Linked DNA regions of Schizosaccharomyces pombe. Changing the gene in region 1 together with any one later gene gives a genetic interaction. Each region holds a gene or a part of one and is shown in the gene's direction. Other genes may lie near its edges. The genes, in order: sce3, mmb1, rga3 and npp1.

Region 1 (4,322 bases):
GTCAATATGACATTTTGGGGGTGTAGGGCTAATGAAACCAGCATGTTGGGAAATCCTTCAAAGCCACGATTTTTATAGAATCTTTTAAATTATAAATTCCTTTTTAAAATATATAATTGAATTTAGAAATGGCATAAAGGAATTGAATGAAATTTTTAGATTGGTTCGCAACCTGGATGGCAACCATTTGTTTGTTGTAAACAATACCTCTTTATGCGGATGCTTCTTTGTAAATAAAAGAAAATGAACATAAAGAATCCTTGAGAAGAAAGAAATCATAAGAAGAGTGAATTTGAACAAAAAAACAAGTGACATAAAAAATATAAAATGAAATAAATCGGTTTTCTTTGTTATCTAATTGTTAAAAAGGGCTGGTCGGTAATTAAATAAATGACTGCGTCCCACCAAGAAAAAAAGAAAGACCATTCCATTTTAATTTCAAATTCACACGTTTCTTTTATTAGATTTTACTTTCTTTTCAAATTCTTCCTTTATCTTTGCTCCAAGTCAATGAAACCCTTTGATTAATTTTTTCGATTTTTTTTTTCTAACATTATTATGATTTTAATATATTTTAATGGATTTTTTATTGTTTCAGAAATTTTTCGTTCTCCACTCAGCTCTCAGCTCACATTGAATATAGATCAAAGACAATTGTCTAAAAAAATAATAATAAAATAATAAACATCCGAATATCAATTGAAAACTGTATCATCCTCATTTTCTCTTACTATCCCAACCAGCCTTTGATGATAAACATTGGCAGAAGCGGCGGCCCTTTAACTCTAATGCGGGAACTTAAAATGTACCAACAATGGATCAACTTTCGTAACTTGATATATCTTTTAAAAATCGTGTAGATATTATCAATTGCACATATTCTGGAATTCCCAATTCTTCTTGTCTTGTCTCTCATATTACACAACTTGTTAAGCATAGACTAATGCATCTCGTCATACAACGTTAAAAGATAATACTGTGTCAGTGAATGAAAAAAGGATGATAAGCTGAATAGAAATGAATTTCAAAATCGCCGTATTTAGATTAGAAAAATTCCTTGCAATTTTGCTTCACCACCTTATTGTCTTGTTTACGTTTGTATCCAAAACATCGATTCATTTCTGTGCAAGCACGCGTCCTTTTCCTTTTCCTTTCCCCTATAATTAAGCCAATGTGTTTTTGTTTTGTTATAATTCCATATTAGAAAAGGAATCTGCAAAAAATGAAGTCTAAACACTGTCCAAACAGTCCAGTTCGCTGAGAAGTTTAAGTTTATTACTCTCAAAAACAAATTCAATGGTGTACAAAACTGATCATCATTCATCCCTTGAGACTATAACGTTCTCGTTTTTTGTTGATCGAGCTCAATAATAAATCATTTATCATTTATCAATGATACGTTTTTTCAATAGCGATTTACTTCAATGTCAAACCATGGTTGAACAAATCGTAAAGCCAATTTTAATCTTTGCTTTTGGTTTATCGCAAAATCAAATCTCTGTTTTCTGATTGAACTTCAAGAACTTTTTTTTAAACTATTATTTTATAGGAATTATTAGATTTGTGAAAGCTGACATCAAATACGGACTTCTTTCAAAAAAAAAAAAGGAAAATCATTTTCTCCTATCACAAGTATATAATCCCAAAAAAAAGACTTTCCATCAAATTGCAAACGCTACAATGGTTCCATATCCAATTTTCCATTGATTTATTTACAATAAAAAAACTACTTCCATCCAATCCTCTTTGCTCAACACGCTACTTATCGTTATGCGATTATAATGCTCACATTCACAAAAATTCCTCCATGCTTGATTTACCGAAATGATTTAATCCTCATTATCCATGACTGTGAGGAATAGAGACGTCTCCCAATTCTCCCTTTTTCTCGCCTTAGCAAATACAGCAGGCGGGAATGCTTCAGTCGTTCTACTATTGAGCAGTCACGGCATCACTGGGCTACGCTCTTGTGGACCAGCGCGCCAAGAATCGCAAATATTAAATCTGTCGAGAACGACGAAGAAAACGATCTTGTTAGTAAAAAGTGAAGATCTAAAAGAAAATATTTCATAATGGGCAAGTTGTGTTTTTGATCATGAGTTATTAATAATAGGTCCGAAAAAGGTTTGTTTAGGTAATTAGGCATGTTTGCTGAACGATATCAGAGTACGAAAATGAGTTTGAACGCCTTTTTGGGTGACGAGTCGTTTGGTTCGACTAACTGGGCTGATGATATTGATGATTTGCCAGCTTTGCGTAAGTATTTTGTTTTTTATAATGGAAAATTTTGGATTGAATTGGAGTGGGGTGTTTTTTAGGAATCCGAAAATTTCTATTAATTTTCGGCTCTCATTTTTGGGCTCCATCATTTTTCTATTTAATCTTTTGAAATTGCTTAGCTAACTCAATTTATCTATTAGCCCAAGACCGCACCACATCTACGTATCGTGCTACTCCTAGCTCTGCTGACGCCGGATACAATGCTCCTTCTTCCACGTTTGAGTCAGTTAGAAGTCCTCCCGAAAGCCGTCGCGAGGGTGGAATGGGAAGTGGTTACCAACGTGATGCCATTCCCATCCCTTCTGAACCCCCTTTTACAGCTCATGTTGGAAACTTGAGTTTTGACTTAACAGAAAACGATTTGGGCGACTTTTTCGGCGAAGGTGTCACTAGCATTCGCCTCGTCATTGACCCTCTCACTGAACGCTCTCGTGGCTTTGGATATGTTGAATTTGAGACCGCTGATACCTTGAGCGCCGCTTTAGCCTTATCCGGTGAGGATTTGATGGGACGTCCAGTCCGCATCACTGTTGCAGAGCCTCGTCGTTCATTTGCCCGTGAAGAACGCTCTACTGGTGACTGGGTTCGTCGTGGACCTCTTCCTCCTGCTGAACCTGCTGAATCTCCGTTTGGCAAGAGACGTACCAACAGTGGTCGTTTCCGTGATCCTGCTCGTGATCCTTCCGATCGTGTTCGTGAAGAGCCACGTGAATGGGTTCGTCGTGGACCCCTTCCTCCACGTGAATCCTCTGAGCGCCCTCGTCTTAACTTAAAACCTCGTTCCTCCTCCAACGTCAACACCGAAGCTACTCCCTCTGCTACCACTACTACATCTTCCAAGCCTAAAAGAGATCCTTTCGGTGGTGCCAAGCCCGTAGACAATACATCCGTGCTTCAACGTGTTGAGGAAAAACTTGCCAAGCGTACTCAGAGCTTCCGTCGCGAGGACAATGCTAACCGTGAGCGTTCTACTTCTAGAAAGCCTTCCGCTGATAAGGCTGAAAAGACCGATAAAACAGATGCTATTGCTGAGAAAGTATCAGATATCCGTTTAGGAGACGGTGAGAAAAAGAGTTCCGAAACTGATTCGGAGGTCGCTGCGACTAAGACTCCTGCCACTGAGGATGCTCCTGCCACAAACGCTGGCGAAGCAGAAGAAGAAGAGGGTTGGACGAAGATTGGCAAAGGCCGTAAACACTAAACCTTAAAAAATGTCAATTTTATGTTATTTCGCTTTGACATAAATATGGAAGTAATGTTAATATCGTTGTTTTGGGGTTCTCTATATAATAAAACAGGTATAAATAAACACATACACTTTTCCATTAAATCGAGAGATTAGCTGCTAACTTATATTTTAAGATCTCTTGTTTGTTTCTGTTTTGATATTTTCTGGTTCCGCCCATCGGCTTTGCATCTGTTTCAATTGCATATAGAAAAAAGCGGGTTGACTAAGCATACTTTTCGTTGATTTTATTCTTATAATGGTGCCTTGGTCGTTTTAGGTTAAATTTATAGTAAAATTTGTTTTGCACTTATATGTCGATGTATGTTTGTTTTTTGTCATGTAATTAATAGTAGTATATATTACTTTGCCGTCTTAGCAAAGATTAATGGTCATTAAAAGTCAATACTATCGTATGAAGTGAACCAGCTATTTCAACGGATATGAGAGTTATATTGTTAAATCTTTATGACAAATGTGTTCTTAAAACTTGCTATGCCTTTGAACACAGGATAAAAACTTATAAAAAATATGACCCCTAAGTGACTTGAACACTTGACTTTGAGATTTGGAATCTCACACTCTACCAACTGAGTTAAGGGGCCTTCGCTTGATCTCATAAATATTTAATATTATAGATATTAAAAAAAAGAATGTACAGCATAAGTTGTAATAATGAAAGTCGAATTGGTAAAGTCAAAACTGCTTAAGTAGTCAGTTGAAAAAATTAGCTTTTCTTTCAGCTTAACCTAGAAAGCCTTGGTGTAATTAATGAAGACACAAACGAGAAAGTTGCTTCAAATTACAACATTAATGG
Region 2 (4,208 bases), 830 kb from region 1:
GCATAGGGGTATTTAATTTTTCACTCGATATACATAACTTAGAGGGATCTTCAATGTTGACAGAAGTAGGAAGTTGCGATGGACTGCGCATATCATTTGCCTGCGCATCATTAGTGCCTTGACGGGTATAACTGGAATTTTGATGTGGAAGCATGGTAATAAATTTTAAGAAAAAGAGAAAATAAAAGTAAAATGGAAACAAATCACAATCAAAGGTGAAGTGATGGGATTAAAGGTTTTAATGAGAAAATAATTCGACAAATATGTAACAAAGGGAAACTTTTTTTTTGAATTACACGAAATGTTTTCAAACTTGAATTATGCACAAAATTAGAGAAACCTGAGAATAATAAATAAGCTTGATAATCCAAATAGCCAAGGGATTAATGGGATATAGGGTTGTAGTGATATTTCGGGTGTTTAATTTATTTAGAAATGGGTATAAAGTCCAGACTGTAAACAGAAAATAATCAGTAAACGAAATCTTTAGTGTTCCGTCCGAAAGAAGTTACCCTAACGAGATATGAAATTATGCGAACAGACGAAGTTTTAGAAGCCGACAATTGAATAAATAAAGGATCAAACTTGCTTAGTTTTATCGAAGGAAGCAAAGCAAGAGAACCGTGAGTAGGAAATAGAAAGTGAACAGTAATAAAAAAAAGTAAAACAGTAGGGAACGTTTTCTTAGAGCTTATTACAATTACGAAAAATAAAGCTTATCCCAATTGAGATAGTTAAAAAAAAAGGAACGAAATAAAACGATATGAAAGACAACAAAGGATGGAAAAACAAAAACAAACCGCTGAATGAATTAATCAAAAGAAAGCGGAAAAATTAATAAATACTCATCAATAGAGTAGCACAAGATGAAGCGAAGGGAGTAGGACAAGGCGTTAAGCCTGCGTTTAGTCTGAACAATAGATATAGACTAAAAAGTGAAAGACGGAATTTCAAAGTCTTAATTGGGGTATTCTATGTATATATACGTCCATATCTGGTAACATTTGCAAACCGTCTTTGATGTCAATTTAATAAGGAACCGAAGGTAACTTGCACACCTTGAGCAGTGACTGGGAGTAACACTCTCCTTGACATTCCCTCGGTACATAGGAGACGAATGAACCGAATGAACAAATAAACTAGATAGTTGCCCAAAAATGCACACAAAGCATTATCACTTTTATTAATTCAAATAACGACATACCAAAGTCGTAAAAGTTGGTAACAAACTCTTCAAATGATATTTCTACTATAACATTTTTCGTAGTACTTACCACTACGGGAGATTTGTAGAATCGGTATGATGCTGTGGAAGAAGAGTTATAGCGGGTTTCCTCAATGTGTACATGTTATTCTCATTGTACACTTGCATCTTAATTTTCACATTGCTCTCTCCCATCAATGATTTGCTTTGGAAAAACAACGGGAACAGAAATCTGGGAGGGAACGGAAAAGTATATTCATAGCAATCACAATTTAACGATAATTATTATGGTCAAATGAATACATATATTGAAAAGAATCGGTCAGCTGGATAGAAAATATGTAAACAGTGCAGCACTTATGAAGGTAATTTTATTTGTTTGCATCAGGTAGCAAGAGTTTTACGGGGATTAATAGAATTCGTTATATATACACTAACAATATAGGACGTAGTTTGTTATTGCTACCTAGTGTTGGGCGATACCAGCTAACGGTGTAGTGTATTTGGCTTTCTCTTTTGTGCATTCAGGGTTGTTGATTGCGAGTCTTATTCAATTTTATTCTGCCAATGCCGGGTTCACCAAGCCAAGAGCCTTTGGCAGAGGCCGAGTCTAATATGCTTCAAAGACTGGAGCAACTACAAATGCAAACATCGAATATTCTCAAGGAACTGCATTCTACGTCGATTTTCACGGATTCTACCACCTCACAACTTCATAATGGAGGTGAGAACTCTGTAATGGATACTGAGGAATCCTCGGCTATTGATAAATTAAGTGCCTCTTTACAGCAAGTAAACATTTCTTCACCATCAGTTCCTACCTCTCAATCTCGGGTTACCCAAGGCCAGTCATTAGGAAATACCCAAATATCTAATCCTACTTCAAAGACTAATAATGTACGAGCCAAAGCTCGGAATATTCGTAATCCCTCTCAACGTCTTCGACCCTCGACTAGTTTGGCCAGGTTATCAAATAACGCACCTCGCATTCCCAAAGAGGCATCACTACATGAGAATTCAATTTCTTCCAAGGAATCTCCTTCTGTAACGACCTCTAAACATGTCGCTACTATTACAAAACCTTCAACGTCGTCTATCGCCCGAATGTCCTCAAATGCTAGAATTGCTGCTATTCCGAGAGCGAAATCTTCAATGGCAGTTCGTTCACCATCACGCCTTGGTAATGGCCCGAATGTGCGCTCACCAAAGGTCGGCTTCAATGCAAAGTCGGATGATAGCCCCGTCGTCAAATCTCCTGGCTCTAACGACAAGCCTTCAGCTTCTCCTCGAATTTCTGTTCGTTCTCTCGGAAATTCTTCTGTCGTTCGTCCACCCACAAGGACTTCCACCACCCGTCCATTATCTAGAGTTAACGTAACAAATGCTTCCGGAAGTATCTCAAAGAATTCTACTAGTCCTTCCAAAGTAAAAGTCAACGCATCGACCAAGATCGTGCGTCCTGTAAGTGCAGCTCAGACTGTCCGACCGGGATCCAGAATCTTCAGAGAAAACTCTGCGTCCAATACTCAAAGACCCAACGTCTCTGCCACTTCTAACTCAACTGTTCGGGTAGCTTCTTCATTAGCTGTACGACCTGTTTCACGTAACGCGCAGGCGCGTACTCCCTCAAGATTAGAACAGAGAGAAGTTAATGTGAAAAATTCATCAGCTAAAATCGTTCGTCCAGGTACTTCTTTAGGTGTTCGTTCACCTTCTCGCATTCAATCCACTCTCTCTTCGAGGACAACTACAGGCAATGTTCGTACTAAAGCGGCTAATATCGTTCGTCCTTCTTCATCAATCAACCGTCGCCCTCCTTCGTCAATAAATCAACGCCCTCCTTCAAACTTGCGCATTTTGGCTCCATCTCGCTCGCGTGCAACAATTCATGAGAGACCAAGCAGTTCAATTTTACACAGGCATGCCCATTCACTAACTTCTTCATCCTTTTCCACTAAAACATTGGCTACAACCAAAGAAATTCAGAATTCGCCTACTTTGGTAGAGTCTTCGACAGTCGTTCATCATGATCCTTCTTATCTTCAAAACCAAACTTCCGAAATTAACGATACTAATCACTCTTCTCATTCGTCACCTTTGGACCTTAACAGAATGATATAAAAGTTGAGTGAGCTGCTGTAATTTGATGGCTTCTGTTCCATTTACACTTATTATTCTGCATAATTTATATCACATGTAGATGTTTTATCATAAGGATATTATTATTAAAAATAAGACAAACCATACGGGAAGAATTGGATGTTACGATTTGATATATTACTTTGTATTACTTAAGATCAGCTAATTAATAGCTTTTAAGCTGAAATTATGTTGCATAGGTTTATTCAGTTGAAAGCTTCACGACTGACTTGATGATAGTCGAGAAGTTTAGAGGGATGCGCTCTGTGTTAAAATTCAGCATGCAGCAACATCAGCATACAACCGATATGTAATAAATTAACATTAACAAACTGGCATTGTTTTCGTGCTCTATCAACTATCAGCAGTAAGTAATTGAAGACATTATGAAGTAAATGAGATTGCTGCATTACTAATTCATTTAGCAAAAAATTAAGTAAATAGAAGGGTTAATTTGTGCAACTTGTACGGTATATTTTGGATAGCGCAATTACGTTACGATTCATAACTGCAAGAATATCGAGCTACTCCAGTGCGCTTTCCTTAGGAAACCAAAACAATATTTTAGTACCTTTTTTTTAAATATTACTGACGAGTTTCATTCTGATTTCTTTTTATTACTCCTAACGGATGTGGCTTTAATACAATCATGTCAATGAACAGCTCAACGGAAATTTCTCAAGAGCCCTCTATAATGAAACCGGTATCTTCAGTAAGTATTTTTGCTATTTGAACTTCTGCGTACCTTGAGTCTCAGTTCTTGTATGAACTTTACTCTCAAATTAATGGTTGTTTGCGTAGTTAATTATTTTGGATTTATTGTTAAATCGTTCATGTTTTGTTTAACGATTTCCAAACAAAAAAA
Region 3 (7,695 bases), on another chromosome or scaffold:
GTTTTTTGATTCTAAGGAACATTCGACAGATGAAAGCGATGGTAACCTTGGAGAACATGATGTAAAGCGCAAGGTAGATTCTGTACCCGCCGATGAGACTAGCATCAATGGTTTTAAGAAATCTGTTAATCAGGCTGAGTATCCTGATAATGCTCAAATGTTCATGGATGAAAGTGTCGCAGAAGAAAGTCTTGTGGAAATTGATGACAGCGTCGAAGCCTACGACATGATTCAATCCAAAAACTACGAAAGCTTTGTTTGGAAATATGTGCTGCATTTAACCGATGAGATGTCGACAGAGGACGCTCTTTTTGAAACTATACCACTTAGTAATTTGCTGGCTCAAAAGCGAATGAAAGACAAGTTAAAAGGTTCCGACGTGTTTACGACTCTTAAAATAACTTCCAAGAGCTTGCACAACATTGACGAACATTCCGATAGTGATGATGAAGTTCAACCTATATGTTATTATTACAAGGATCCAGTTGTTTCCCATGCCCCGGGTGCAGCTGAAGTCGTATCTGAACTTGAAAGCGGATATGTAGGGTTAATATCCTATGATTTGTCTAATCTTCCAAATAGTACAGAAGATCCTGAAAGGAAACTTGCAAAACCTGTCTCTTCTTGGGAGTTGTCACTCCCTTTAAAATAGATGTCTTCATTTTCGAACTACAGTCTTGAAGCCTTTACAAAAACATAAATTGTTTTTTAGCGCTGCCTCTGTGTTGGATAGCAATCCTTTCTTTTTATCGTCATTTTCTGCCAAGTTTGTTTTTTCCTAGAAAGAAAATTTAATACTTCCTCTTTATAGCAATCAGTTATTGCCATTTATAATGATGAGTCCCAGTGTTCACAATATTCTGAAACTTTTTTTGTTAAAAACTGATTGCTTTCTTCCGTATAATTGTCCCAATATTCGCACCACAACTATAAAAATTTTTTTTAGGAGCCTTTACTTCCTTCTTAAAAGCAATAGTTACTTAATCAATTATAGCGACCCCGCTATTTGAGATACACATTTTATAAATTCTACACTTTTTGGAAACGAGCATTTTCTCTTGTCCCTTTATTTGACGATCCGACCGTTCACGCTACAAACGTCTACAAAATTTTTTTCTCTAGAAAGCATCTCTCCTTCTGTTTACTCCTGTTGCTACCGAAATTTTTTCTTTTTTTTTGTCCTCTGTGTTTTTTGATCAGGAATGTATATATCTTTAACCATTTTTTAGCGGGTTTTTTCTAAAGGTAAAGCTATTTAAGCCAGAAAAACAGTTCATTTTCCTTTTTCCTTCTAATTTCGGCAATTTCCCTTTTCACAAATATCACCATTTTTGAGTGGAAAGAAAAGCCTAGAGAGCGGAAACGCTGCCAAACCCATTAAAATTAATTATCTGTAATATTATAATCGTATTTAATAGCTATTCATAACACCCGTTTCGTCTAAACTCCCGTAATAAACCATGTGACTTTTGGCAATTTTACGCACCATATCGTAGAACACGGCGATAATTTCCATAGTGTTTCGCTAGGCTAGGGCAAGGCAAGCCAAAGACCATAGTGCCATGTGTACGACGCATGCAAATTTTAAGGGATTAGAGTGAACGACTCGCTACTGCCGTTCTCACCGCTCCACTGGGCAATGATGCCAACAACTGCAGTAATAATTATTCCTTAGCCATTTACCAATTGTTTCGAACTTCAATCATAAAATTGGGAATATTTTCATTTACTTGATGGGAAGCTGAGGAATGAAAATAGGTACCCAAAGGAATCGTTGTGAAAATAAAAATCAACAAAGCCAAATTCATGACGCTAGATTGAAGTTCATAACGTTTAGCAGGAAATAAGAAGAGCATATATACGATAAGATGATATTTCGAAAAAGTATTTCCAAATCTCCATCAAGCAAGGGAAGCACAGTATGCTTTCGCTGCGGACAGGCATTTCAACGTAGAGAGACACCTATTTCGTTTGGGGGTCATATGTGGCATAAGGATTGCTTCTGCTGTACGAAGTGCGATAAAGGATTGGAGCACAGTGATCAAATGCTGGTGCAAACCTCTGATGGACGACCGGTGTGTAGCTCTTGCGCCCATACCTGTACAGCGTGTCGTATGAGGATCAAGGACTATGCCCTAATGTCAGGCTACGACTCCTATCACAGAGAGTGTTTTCGTTGCCATGATTGCCGAAAGCAAATAATTGACTCTAACTTTAAAAGAGATAATAGGACTATATTTTGTAATGATTGTAAACAAGTCCGTCACCCTTCCAGGTCTTCAGACGAGAGCGCTGATTATCACAATTTTGAGGTTGATGTCACGATTAAGCCCACAGAGACAAAGTCTTCAGTGGAATCTAATAAGTCTTTAAGCATTGAAATTATGTCTCCTCAAAAGCCACCATTATCACCTTTTGGTGGAAGCAGAGACCGCTTAGTTAGCGAAACACCGACTAACATGAGTCAGGCAGAAGGGGGTAATGTGCCGAACGATGGACAGGATAGTAATCTTGCGTCTAATTCTGCAGATTCGCTGCTGCCTAGTGCCAAAAATCGAAGTTTTTCCTCGTTTACGAGTTTTGAATCGCCGATGAAGTATGACGATTCTTTCTTTCCTATTTCACCTTCTATATCTCCGTTACAAAAAGTTAACAAGCAGCAACAAATTGAGTCTCCTACAGCCACATTTCCGTTAAGCAAAAATACTTGGAAGAATCGATTCCATACGTTTCACAAACAATCTTTTACTCCTGTTAACGATAGCTCTTCCTCGGACAGCTTAAAACCCACAATTAATGAGGAAGCCCTGGACGACTTTGCTGGCTCTGCTTCTCCTTATAAAACCATGTCATTGACTGACCGAGCAGAGCCAATTGTCATGAATGGACATATGCGTTCTCTTCACAATGCCACCTCTCCCTTTCGGCCTTTTTCTCCCTCTTACAGGTCGAGTGATACGCATTCACCGAGAACCCGCTCACCGAATGTCCAAACCCATAAAAAAACCTCTTCTCAGCCATCTGACCTTTCATCTTTTGCGCAGCTACTTTCACCGCCTCAGGTTCTTTCTCCCAAACCAAATGGCGGGGGCCATAAAAGTTTTCGGCATTCGCATTCTCTTTCTGAGACTTCTCAGCAAACACTCGTTCCTTCGCTGGGATCTAATGGAGAGTACCATTTACCGACAAACGATCATTCTTCAACTCCAGCACAATCAGAGCGAGATTCGGATGTTGAAGAATTGCGTGAACAGTTGGAAAATCTTACTGCTCTTACCAAAAAATTGTCCGAAAGGCTCTCAAGTTCTACGTTTGACAACTCTAAGTTTATTCGTACGGAAGATAAGGATACTGTTCGTTCGGCTAAACTTGAAATTTGTGAAAAGTTTTTTTCGTTTGCTGATGTGACAGATGATCCCACGCTGAAAGATCCGAAACATCAGGATTTGGTGGCTGCCGCCAATGCTTACATGGCAATGCTTCGTGAGAGTTACGGCACTGAAATAAACAATCTTTTGGAAAGGAGAAATGAGCTGCTTGACGATTACAATAATGTACAAAAAATTTTAAATGAATCGCTTGAAGCATCTGTACACCTAAATACCAAAAATCTCGAGTTGGCCGACTTAAACAACAATTTGGTAAAACAAATTCAGCATAGAGTACCTCCTGAAAACCAATCCAATTTGGAGCATACTATTACCACATCTTCCAAAAATACAACCAGCAGTATTAATCCACTTACTGCCGTGAGTAGCAACTCTGGGCAGTCATCAGGTCGACCTGGTCCGTTGTCACCAAATTTGAATGTGACTACGAGAATTGACATTAAGGGAAAAAAGGGAAGTATGCATTTGCAACCAAGAGATGTAAACCGTAAAGTCCCGTTCAAATCAATGCATACTAAATCAAAGTCTGCCGATCCTGTAGTAGGAAATGAAGATCGTACTCAATGTGACCATGTGTTTCATGTTAATGCCATATTCAAGCCCTCAAGGTGTTATATATGCTCGGAGAGCGTATGGGGATCTGAACTCCGCTGCTTTCATTGCTCAATTTCATGCCATTCGCGGTGTTTAAAAAGGCTGTTTGCAGAGTCGGAGCATGAGAAAACAATGAGTGAAACTGTAAGTGAAAATAGTAAATGGATGCCGGAAATGCCAACGAGGATGCCTCCTCCTGGGCCTTCACCAACGATGTTTGGACGATCGTTAGAAAATCAATTGAAAATTGAAGGGTCGGTTTTGCCTCAAGTAATTGCTATGTGCGTTTCTTGCGTGGATGCGCATGGATTGGAGGTTGAAGGTATTTATAGGATATCTGGCAGTGCTTCTCAGGTCCGAGTGTTAGTCGACGAATTTGAAAACGGGTCTATCCGAATGGAGCATTTGACTTCTGACTTGTTTGCCTGTACGTCGGTTTTGAAAACATATTTGCATCGCTTACCGGAACCAGTTATACCTGGCACTCAATACGAGGAGTTGTTGGAAGCGGAAAAAATCGAAAAGGAAGAGGAAAAAATTGAACGGGTAGTGGAAGTAATGAAAACGCTTCATCCTGCACATTTGAGCGTATTTCGATTTTTGATTGCACATTTGGGTCGTGTATGCAAGCACGCGGAGAAAAATTTGATGAACTCGAAAAATGTCTCTACAGTATTTGCACCTACTTTAATGCGAGATAAGGTGAATCGGTTTGATTTACAGCATGCTACCAAAAAGAGTACGGCTCTTCAGTTTATGCTTGATAACGTGGATAAGATTCTTCATAATCTGTAGCTTGTTTTATGAATAATGATTAAAATATCGGGGAACTTGTATTTTTCTAGGGAAGAAGGAACTTTACGATAATAATAACCACTTGTGTTCCAAACTTCAATAAGGAATACTTTTCGAAGAAATAATGAGACTTTTTTTACACCTCTTTTTTTTAATGAAAAAAGGAAAACAAAGATATTAGCATAACACTCTTACATTTACGACTGAACTATTCAAACTGGGTAATACAGGATGTACATTATGACAAGCAGGCAAGCACACGCACGCTCATCAGATACAAATAAATACGCACGCAAATGGAGATTGTATAAAGATATTTGCCATTAAGCATTGCGAGATGCAAAATAAGGAAAATATAATGCTAATTTGATAAAAAAAAAAGAAAACAAACTCTTTTTAACGATACTAAACAGAACTCAACTCGATTTGGTTCGAGTATTTCGTTTCTCATAACTTGAACATAAACACAACATAAACAACTCATCAAAGACACATACATACACAAACACTACGGTCGTGCCATCATGTCTCGAAATCTCAAAGAATGGTATGGGGAACATGGTGAGGGATGAATGGCAGTGAACGTGAAAGGGGATGGATGGCATAATTAAATGTAATCTGCAACATTGTCAGTCAGGGTATGACTAATCAAAAAATAAAAATTACAAGGGAGTAAGAAAAAAAAAACAAAAGCAATCAAATAGTACTACCTAAAAGGCTTATATCCCTATCAAGATAAGGATCGTTTTGCTCTTCCTCATCAAGTTGTTCCTCGTTATTGTTTGCATTTTTCTTTTGTGTTCCATTAGCGCTCTTGGAGCGTGATTTCTTTCCTCCAAAGATGCTGCCAAGACCGCCAAGAGACGAGAAATTAACACGGCCAGTATGTTGACTGGAACGGTTGCGAGTAGACTCGGACCTGGAGTCATCGTCGCCGATATCTTCCTGAGTGGCATGGTAGCTGGAGCTCTCCATGTCATCCTCCTCTTCCTGGACCAAAGGTCCGGCCTCTGGATATTCATTCATGTATTCGTTGAATGAATGAACGCCCATCGAAGGATGGCGTTGTCTACCGGAGAAGGAGTGTTTGTCAACATGATGACCATGGGTTTCTTGAGTTTGATCACTAGAAGTAAAACGATTTGCCATTGCGGTGGATTTGAAGAAATTCGATTAGTCAATTAGTATTGGATGAAATTCAATTTCAAATTGATTTGGATTTGGATTGGATTGGACTGTCAATAACAATTTTCAACTCAATTGGTTATTGTTTGTTTTGTTATTGTTGTTGTTAGATTGTCAGTGGGTGGGTAATTTAGCTTGACTCGCTGATGATCAATAAGGGTGGATATGAATACGATTCGGTATTTGTTATTACGAAGGATGAAATATATATGTACTGTATTTTGGGAATGGAATTTTCACTCTTAGTGCCCAACCTTCTATTTATCTCCTTGCTGTGGCCAAATGTCATACGTATTGGGTTGCTACATTGAATGTAAGTGTGCCTTACTCGTCCTTTCACCCGCAACTCCATTGTTATCCAGCATCGTCATCCACTGCAATCGTGGCGCCAACCTCTTCACTTCCACCACCCATATAGCATATTTCCGTGAGTGTGTACCTCGGCGAGATCCGTTAAGTGGGTTTACGAAACAGGCCAAGAGGAGGAGGAGGGTTTGGTGATAATGCAATGGAGCACACAAGTAAGCAGGACGAAGTATGATTGATGGATGGATGAAGGAAAAGAAGAGAAAATGGCAGGTTGGTTTAGAAGAGGCTGTTCATCCCGTGGTATCGCAGTCTCAAGTATGGCACGGAAAACAAGCGTCGTTTTAATTGTCCAGGAGAAAAACAAAAAGGAAACAAGACTTTAGAGGGTCAGTCTTTTTTTTATGTCTTTTCTATTTTTGCTTTATGTTGTTGTTTTATATTCTTTCTTTCTTTTTTCTGCCTTCTTGACAATTAATTGATTTCCGCGGCAAGCTTAGTCAGTCTATAATACGGTGTTGTGCATCAGAGATGTTATGGCATTGCGTCATGATCGACACCCTTCCTAATCCCTTTTTTCTCCGCCTTCGCTTCCCCACACTTGGAGTCACAAGGCTGAGTCGATGCTACCTGAAAAGATGGGGTAATGGCATGACGAAAAAGACTGCAGGAAGAGAGGGGTGGGTGAAAGAAAGGGATTCAAACGAGACATCAATAATGGATGGAAGAAATAAAAACATAAAAGAAAAAAGAAAAAAAAAAGAAAGAAAAAGTTAAAGAAGATGAAAATTTTTGTTTGTTTGTCTCAGAACTAAAGTTTTTTTTGCTCAATTTTCTGTTCAATTTCTTTGATTCGCATTTTGTTTTGTTCCACTTTTTCTTTTTTTTTTGTCTTTGTTCCACCATTGGTTTTCTTTATCCATCTCTGTCCATTGTTGGTAATCTTGCTTTATGATTATAGGAGTCCTTTGTTTTCTCTCTCTCTTTTTTTTTTTATTTCTTTGTATGAATTGCCTTTTTTTTGACTAGCGTTCTTTGTCATACATGTCATCTTGAAATAGATGGTTTTGATTGTTTCTTGTTTTCAATAACTTTTTTTTTTTTTTTTCTGCTCTCTTTCTCTTTTCATTTTTTTTTTGGTCAGCGTGAGATACTGGCTTTCATTGAGCTACAATAAATAGTTTTGACTTTTTATTTCTATTTCTATTTCTTCTTTATTTTCCTGCTGTCTTTCTCTTCTCGCATACACAAAAGAGACTCAAACATACACACACACATACTCGGAGAGTTTCTCTCTCTCTCTCTCTCTTTTTTTTAGAGTTTCCTTTTTGCTCACTTGTTTTTCTTTGATCGTCGTTCTTTACGACATCTTTGTATTATAACGAAAATAACCTTTATTTGGACTTTCTTTTTATTCACTGTGGAT
Region 4 (3,909 bases), 560 kb from region 1:
CACAGTGAAATTATATTATGCATTTGATTCTGGGGACTACCTATGCCTTGTAATGGATTATTTTAATGGAGGAGATTGTGAAACACTTATTCAAAAATTAGGACCGTTACCAGAGCAATGGGTTTGCCAGTACGCAGCTGAATTACTAAATGCTATCGAGCTTTTGCATCAGGATGGAATCATCCATCACGACATAAAGCCTGCCAACATGTTGGTTGACGAAACAGGACATATTCGGCTTACAGACTTCGGACTGAGTGAAAACGTAGAGGAAAAAAAAGAGGTTTATAAGCTTACTAAGAGGATGTCATTTGAACAGAAACATGGAAATTTGTATGAGCAGCTTCAACCTAAAAAATTCGAATTTGTAAGATATGTTCGAAATTACCGCGGGAATATTGATGAGCTTGAGAAAGCGGAGAGTCCACAGCAAAATAGTGATTATGCCAATGACTCGGTCCAGCATTTACTTGACTTTGATATCAATAACATGGATGAAACAGCAATACACATGTTAATGAATCAGTTAGAGAAAAAGGAAAACCGGACATTCATCAAAAAAGATATTTCAGGGACGCCAAATTATATGGCTCCAGAAATTTTAATGGGCGTTGATACTCAGATGGGCGATATATGGGCGATGGGTTGTGTGATATTCGAAATGTTGACTGGCACGCGACCATTTGAAGCAAATACTGTAAAAGCAATATGGGCTCGCATAGAGAGAAATGATATTGGTTGGACTAAAAGAGTGAAAGAAAGCTGCTCAAAGGAGGCGGTAGACTTAATCACCAAACTCATGGATCCAGACTGTAACAAACGGCTGGGTAGCAATGGATACCAGGAAATCAAAAAACATCCTTTTTTTCGAACCATTAAATGGGATAATTTAAATAGTGGGCCAGGTCCGTTCGTTCCACAAACAGAAAATGTTGAAGATTTGACGTACTTTGAAAAAAACATAAGCGGTTCGGATAATATTAATAAAAATAATTGTCAGACGTCAGCAACTTTAATTCTAAATGGTATTTTTGCTTTTCATCCTCCTCCAAAAGCAACACCAGCTGACAGTGGTACTGAAACCTCAAACTCAGCTGCTTTCTCTGCGTCCGAGGAGGAGACCACAAATTTAACAGACCAAAAACGAAAAGATCTTTTTTCACTAATAACCAAAGCGTTTAAGGGAATAGACTTAAAGGCCCTTAATTACAACAACAAAGCCACGCTTTTGCGAATGTATGATGAGGTCGATTTCCCCAAAAATCAACAAAGAAATAAAGAGAAATTTCGAATTCAGAAACGACCTAACAAAAAGTATCGCTACCATTTATTTTAACATCATGTAAAACCATAGACATAACATGTTCGCTATCCAGAACGAATCATGATAAGTTGAAAAATGGTTAATTAATATTTCCATACAGAAACAGTAAAAAGACAAATAAACTTGTTCTACAAAATCTTTTATTCTGAGGCTTTAGCCAAATAATGCTTCTAACATAAGTTGATGTTTCCTCCTTGAATCCAAATATTATTAATAGTTGAATTTCATATATGAAAAAAAGCTATCTCATTTCACTAAACGTTTCAAAGGATGACATTTCCTATACGACAGAACATTTAAGAGGACTGAATAGTTTACGAATTGAAGTAAGTTAGAACAAAGTGTTTACCGCATATCTTTGAAAGCGTTAAATGATTTTAACAATATTTTTCGCATCGTTATTCAAGTAAGTATTATTTGACAGATTATATGATATACCTAACAATACTCCTTTATATCATTGATTTTGAACATTCGCCGAAATGTTTAGTTGGGCTAATATTGGGTCCAACGAGTATTTGCCTTTGAAAAATGATCGAAAGGCTTATTTGAATCAATGGGCAAAACGATCGGGACTAGCAATTGCCGCTATTTGCATTTTAGGAATTCTGATATTGGCAATTGTGAAATTATTTTGCTTCAAAGCAATTATTTTTCCTATCGTTGGAGGTTCCTTCAACAATGGGACCAATGTTTTTCAGTCCACTGTCATCGTAATCTCCTTGGATGGATTCCGTGCTGATTACTTATATCGTGGGTTCACACCTAATCTTCTGAGCCTGGCTGAACGTAATGTCCATGTTCCCTTTTTGATTCCTTCTTTTCCTAGTATAACTTTCCCTAATCACTATACTATTGTTACCGGTTTATATCCCGAGAGCCATGGAATCGTTAGTAACAACTTTTTTGATCCTGTAACTGGGAAGCAATTTGTCAACAGTATGCCTGAATGTAACAAAGACCCAACTTGGTGGGATAAAGGGGAGCCTATATGGGTCAACGCTGAGCGAAATAACGTTCGATCAGCGGTACATATGTGGCCTGGAAATGAAGTGGAGAATCATGGTTACAGACCTACTTATTCGGATGGTTTCAATTTTGATACGACTCTAAGAGAAAAGAAAGATAGAATACTCGAATGGCTGGATCTTCCTGATAAAGACCGCCCTCAGTTATTACTTGCTTATGCTCCCCATGTAGATATGGTTGGGCACGCATTTGGACCGGATTCGCCTGAACTGAATATCATAATTCAAGAAGTTGATATCGTAATTGGTGAACTAATTGAAGGACTGAAGAAAAGAAATATCGATAAGCATGTCAACATTATTTTTTTAAGTGATCATGGAATGGCGCCTACATCCGATAATCGTCTTATCTGGCTGGATAATATGTTTAATTTGTCTGCCGTTGCACACAGAGATGCTTGGCCGTTAGGAGGTTTTAGAGGAGAATCTGATTTAGATGATGAGTACATTTACGAAAGTCTTGTTAATTATTCTCGCTCGTCATTACCTTCTGCTGAGAATTGGAATGTTTATTCAAAGAAAGATATACCTTCTCGATGGCATTACTCAAATAATGAAAGAATAGCTCCCGTTTGGATGATCCCGGATGTTGGATGGTCTCTTGTCTCGATGCTGGATCATTCACCGGAGTTGGAGTATGAGCCTTTGGGTGTACATGGTTATGACAATTTGTCTCCAGTGATGAGAGCACTTTTTATCGCTTCAGGATCTTCTTTTAAGAATTTTAAGGGAAAGAAGCTTGCACCGTTCCAGAACACCGAAATTTATGGCATTCTTTCGCATATATTAGATTTACCAGCTCAGCCTAATAATGGTACATATGAAGGTGCTTTACCTTTAAGAAGAAATCGTAATTCTACTAAGGAATGGTTGCTGAAGGACATAGAACAAGCATACTCTAAGCTTATTTAATTCTGCTGTTTTATCACTATCTTTATATTTTTTAATATTTTTAATTTCCTTTAGATTATATTTAATACTTTTTTTTAATAAACGACTTTATTTGAATAGCAACAATAACTGTATTCCGATTTTTAAGAATCGTAAAAGAACATCACTTCTTCTATTTTTAATTAAATGATGGTCATAACTTTGGTTTCACTTTGGTACTGCTCATCCATGCAAATGTCTAGTGATTGTTAGCTTGTTCTTATACCTAATTCATTCCATTAATACTTACCAATTTTCGAGCAGCCTCCGGGTCCACCATAACATTTATGAGAGATACAGATGAGGTTTGCCATGCTTTCCTGAGGGAACTTCTCAAATCTTCTTCATTCTTTACAAAGAAACCTTTACCACCACATGCTTCGCAAATTTGATCATAACGTATACTAGTGCCTAAGGCAGTAGTCGGTAATTGGTGATTATCACGTAAAGTTTCATAAGCATCAGTATCTAATCCATGGTAAACACCATTATTATTGATTACAATTACCAAAAGATCCAGCTGGTTGCGTATGGCGGTTTCCAGTTCCATGGCGCTAAAGCCAAAAGCACTATCACCCTCAACTACCACTATTTTGTCGGATGAATGGGCAAATGCGCTGGCAATAG

The links.
Region 2: mutations in sce3 (region 1) and mmb1 together harm fitness more than expected from each alone (negative genetic interaction), as found in Schizosaccharomyces pombe (one large-scale study listed by BioGRID).
Region 3: mutations in sce3 (region 1) and rga3 together harm fitness more than expected from each alone (negative genetic interaction), as found in Schizosaccharomyces pombe (one large-scale study listed by BioGRID).
Region 4: mutations in sce3 (region 1) and npp1 together harm fitness more than expected from each alone (negative genetic interaction), as found in Schizosaccharomyces pombe (one large-scale study listed by BioGRID).

Annotation. Positions count from the first base shown.
Region 1 is NC_003423.3:1,774,648-1,778,969, reverse strand, and holds sce3 (translation initiation factor), read left to right. Parts: upstream 1-2,000; 5' UTR 2,001-2,072; coding exon 2,073-2,076; exon of another isoform or gene 2,077-2,113; coding exon 2,114-2,124; exon of another isoform or gene 2,125-2,165; coding exon 2,166-2,256; exon of another isoform or gene 2,257-2,420; coding exon 2,421-3,481; 3' UTR 3,482-3,801; downstream 3,802-4,322.
Region 2 is NC_003423.3:2,608,155-2,612,362, reverse strand, and holds mmb1 (mitochondrial microtubule binder Mmb1), read left to right. Parts: upstream 1-1,722; 5' UTR 1,723-1,819; coding exon 1,820-3,325; 3' UTR 3,326-3,675; downstream 3,676-4,208. Other genes in the region: SPOM_SPBC25B2.08 (uncharacterized protein), read right to left, coding at 1-154; BTB/POZ family ubiquitin-type ligase substrate adaptor Btb2, read left to right, coding at 3,993-4,055. UniProt on the Schizosaccharomyces pombe protein: Involved in the cell polarity process and in regulation of microtubule growth. Has a role in meiosis. Involved in microtubule dynamics.
Region 3 is NC_003424.3:5,123,012-5,130,706, reverse strand, and holds rga3 (Rho-type GTPase-activating protein Rga3), read left to right. Parts: upstream 1-1,673; 5' UTR 1,674-1,868; coding exon 1,869-4,778; 3' UTR 4,779-5,474; coding exon of another isoform or gene 5,475-5,927; 3' UTR 5,928-6,093; coding exon of another isoform or gene 6,094-6,315; 3' UTR 6,316-7,379; downstream 7,380-7,695. Other genes in the region: RNA polymerase I upstream activation factor complex subunit Rrn5, read left to right, coding at 1-652; protein mug108, read right to left, coding at 5,475-5,927; SPOM_SPAC29A4.22 (uncharacterized protein), read right to left, coding at 6,094-6,315. UniProt on the Schizosaccharomyces pombe protein: GTPase-activating protein for Rho-type proteins.
Region 4 is NC_003423.3:1,210,250-1,214,158, reverse strand, and holds npp1 (nucleotide pyrophosphatase), read left to right. Parts: upstream 1-1,767; 5' UTR 1,768-1,806; coding exon 1,807-3,264; 3' UTR 3,265-3,368; downstream 3,369-3,909. Other genes in the region: serine/threonine protein kinase Ppk31, read left to right, coding at 1-1,336; 2-hydroxyacyl-CoA lyase Hac1, read right to left, coding at 3,437-3,481, 3,533-3,909.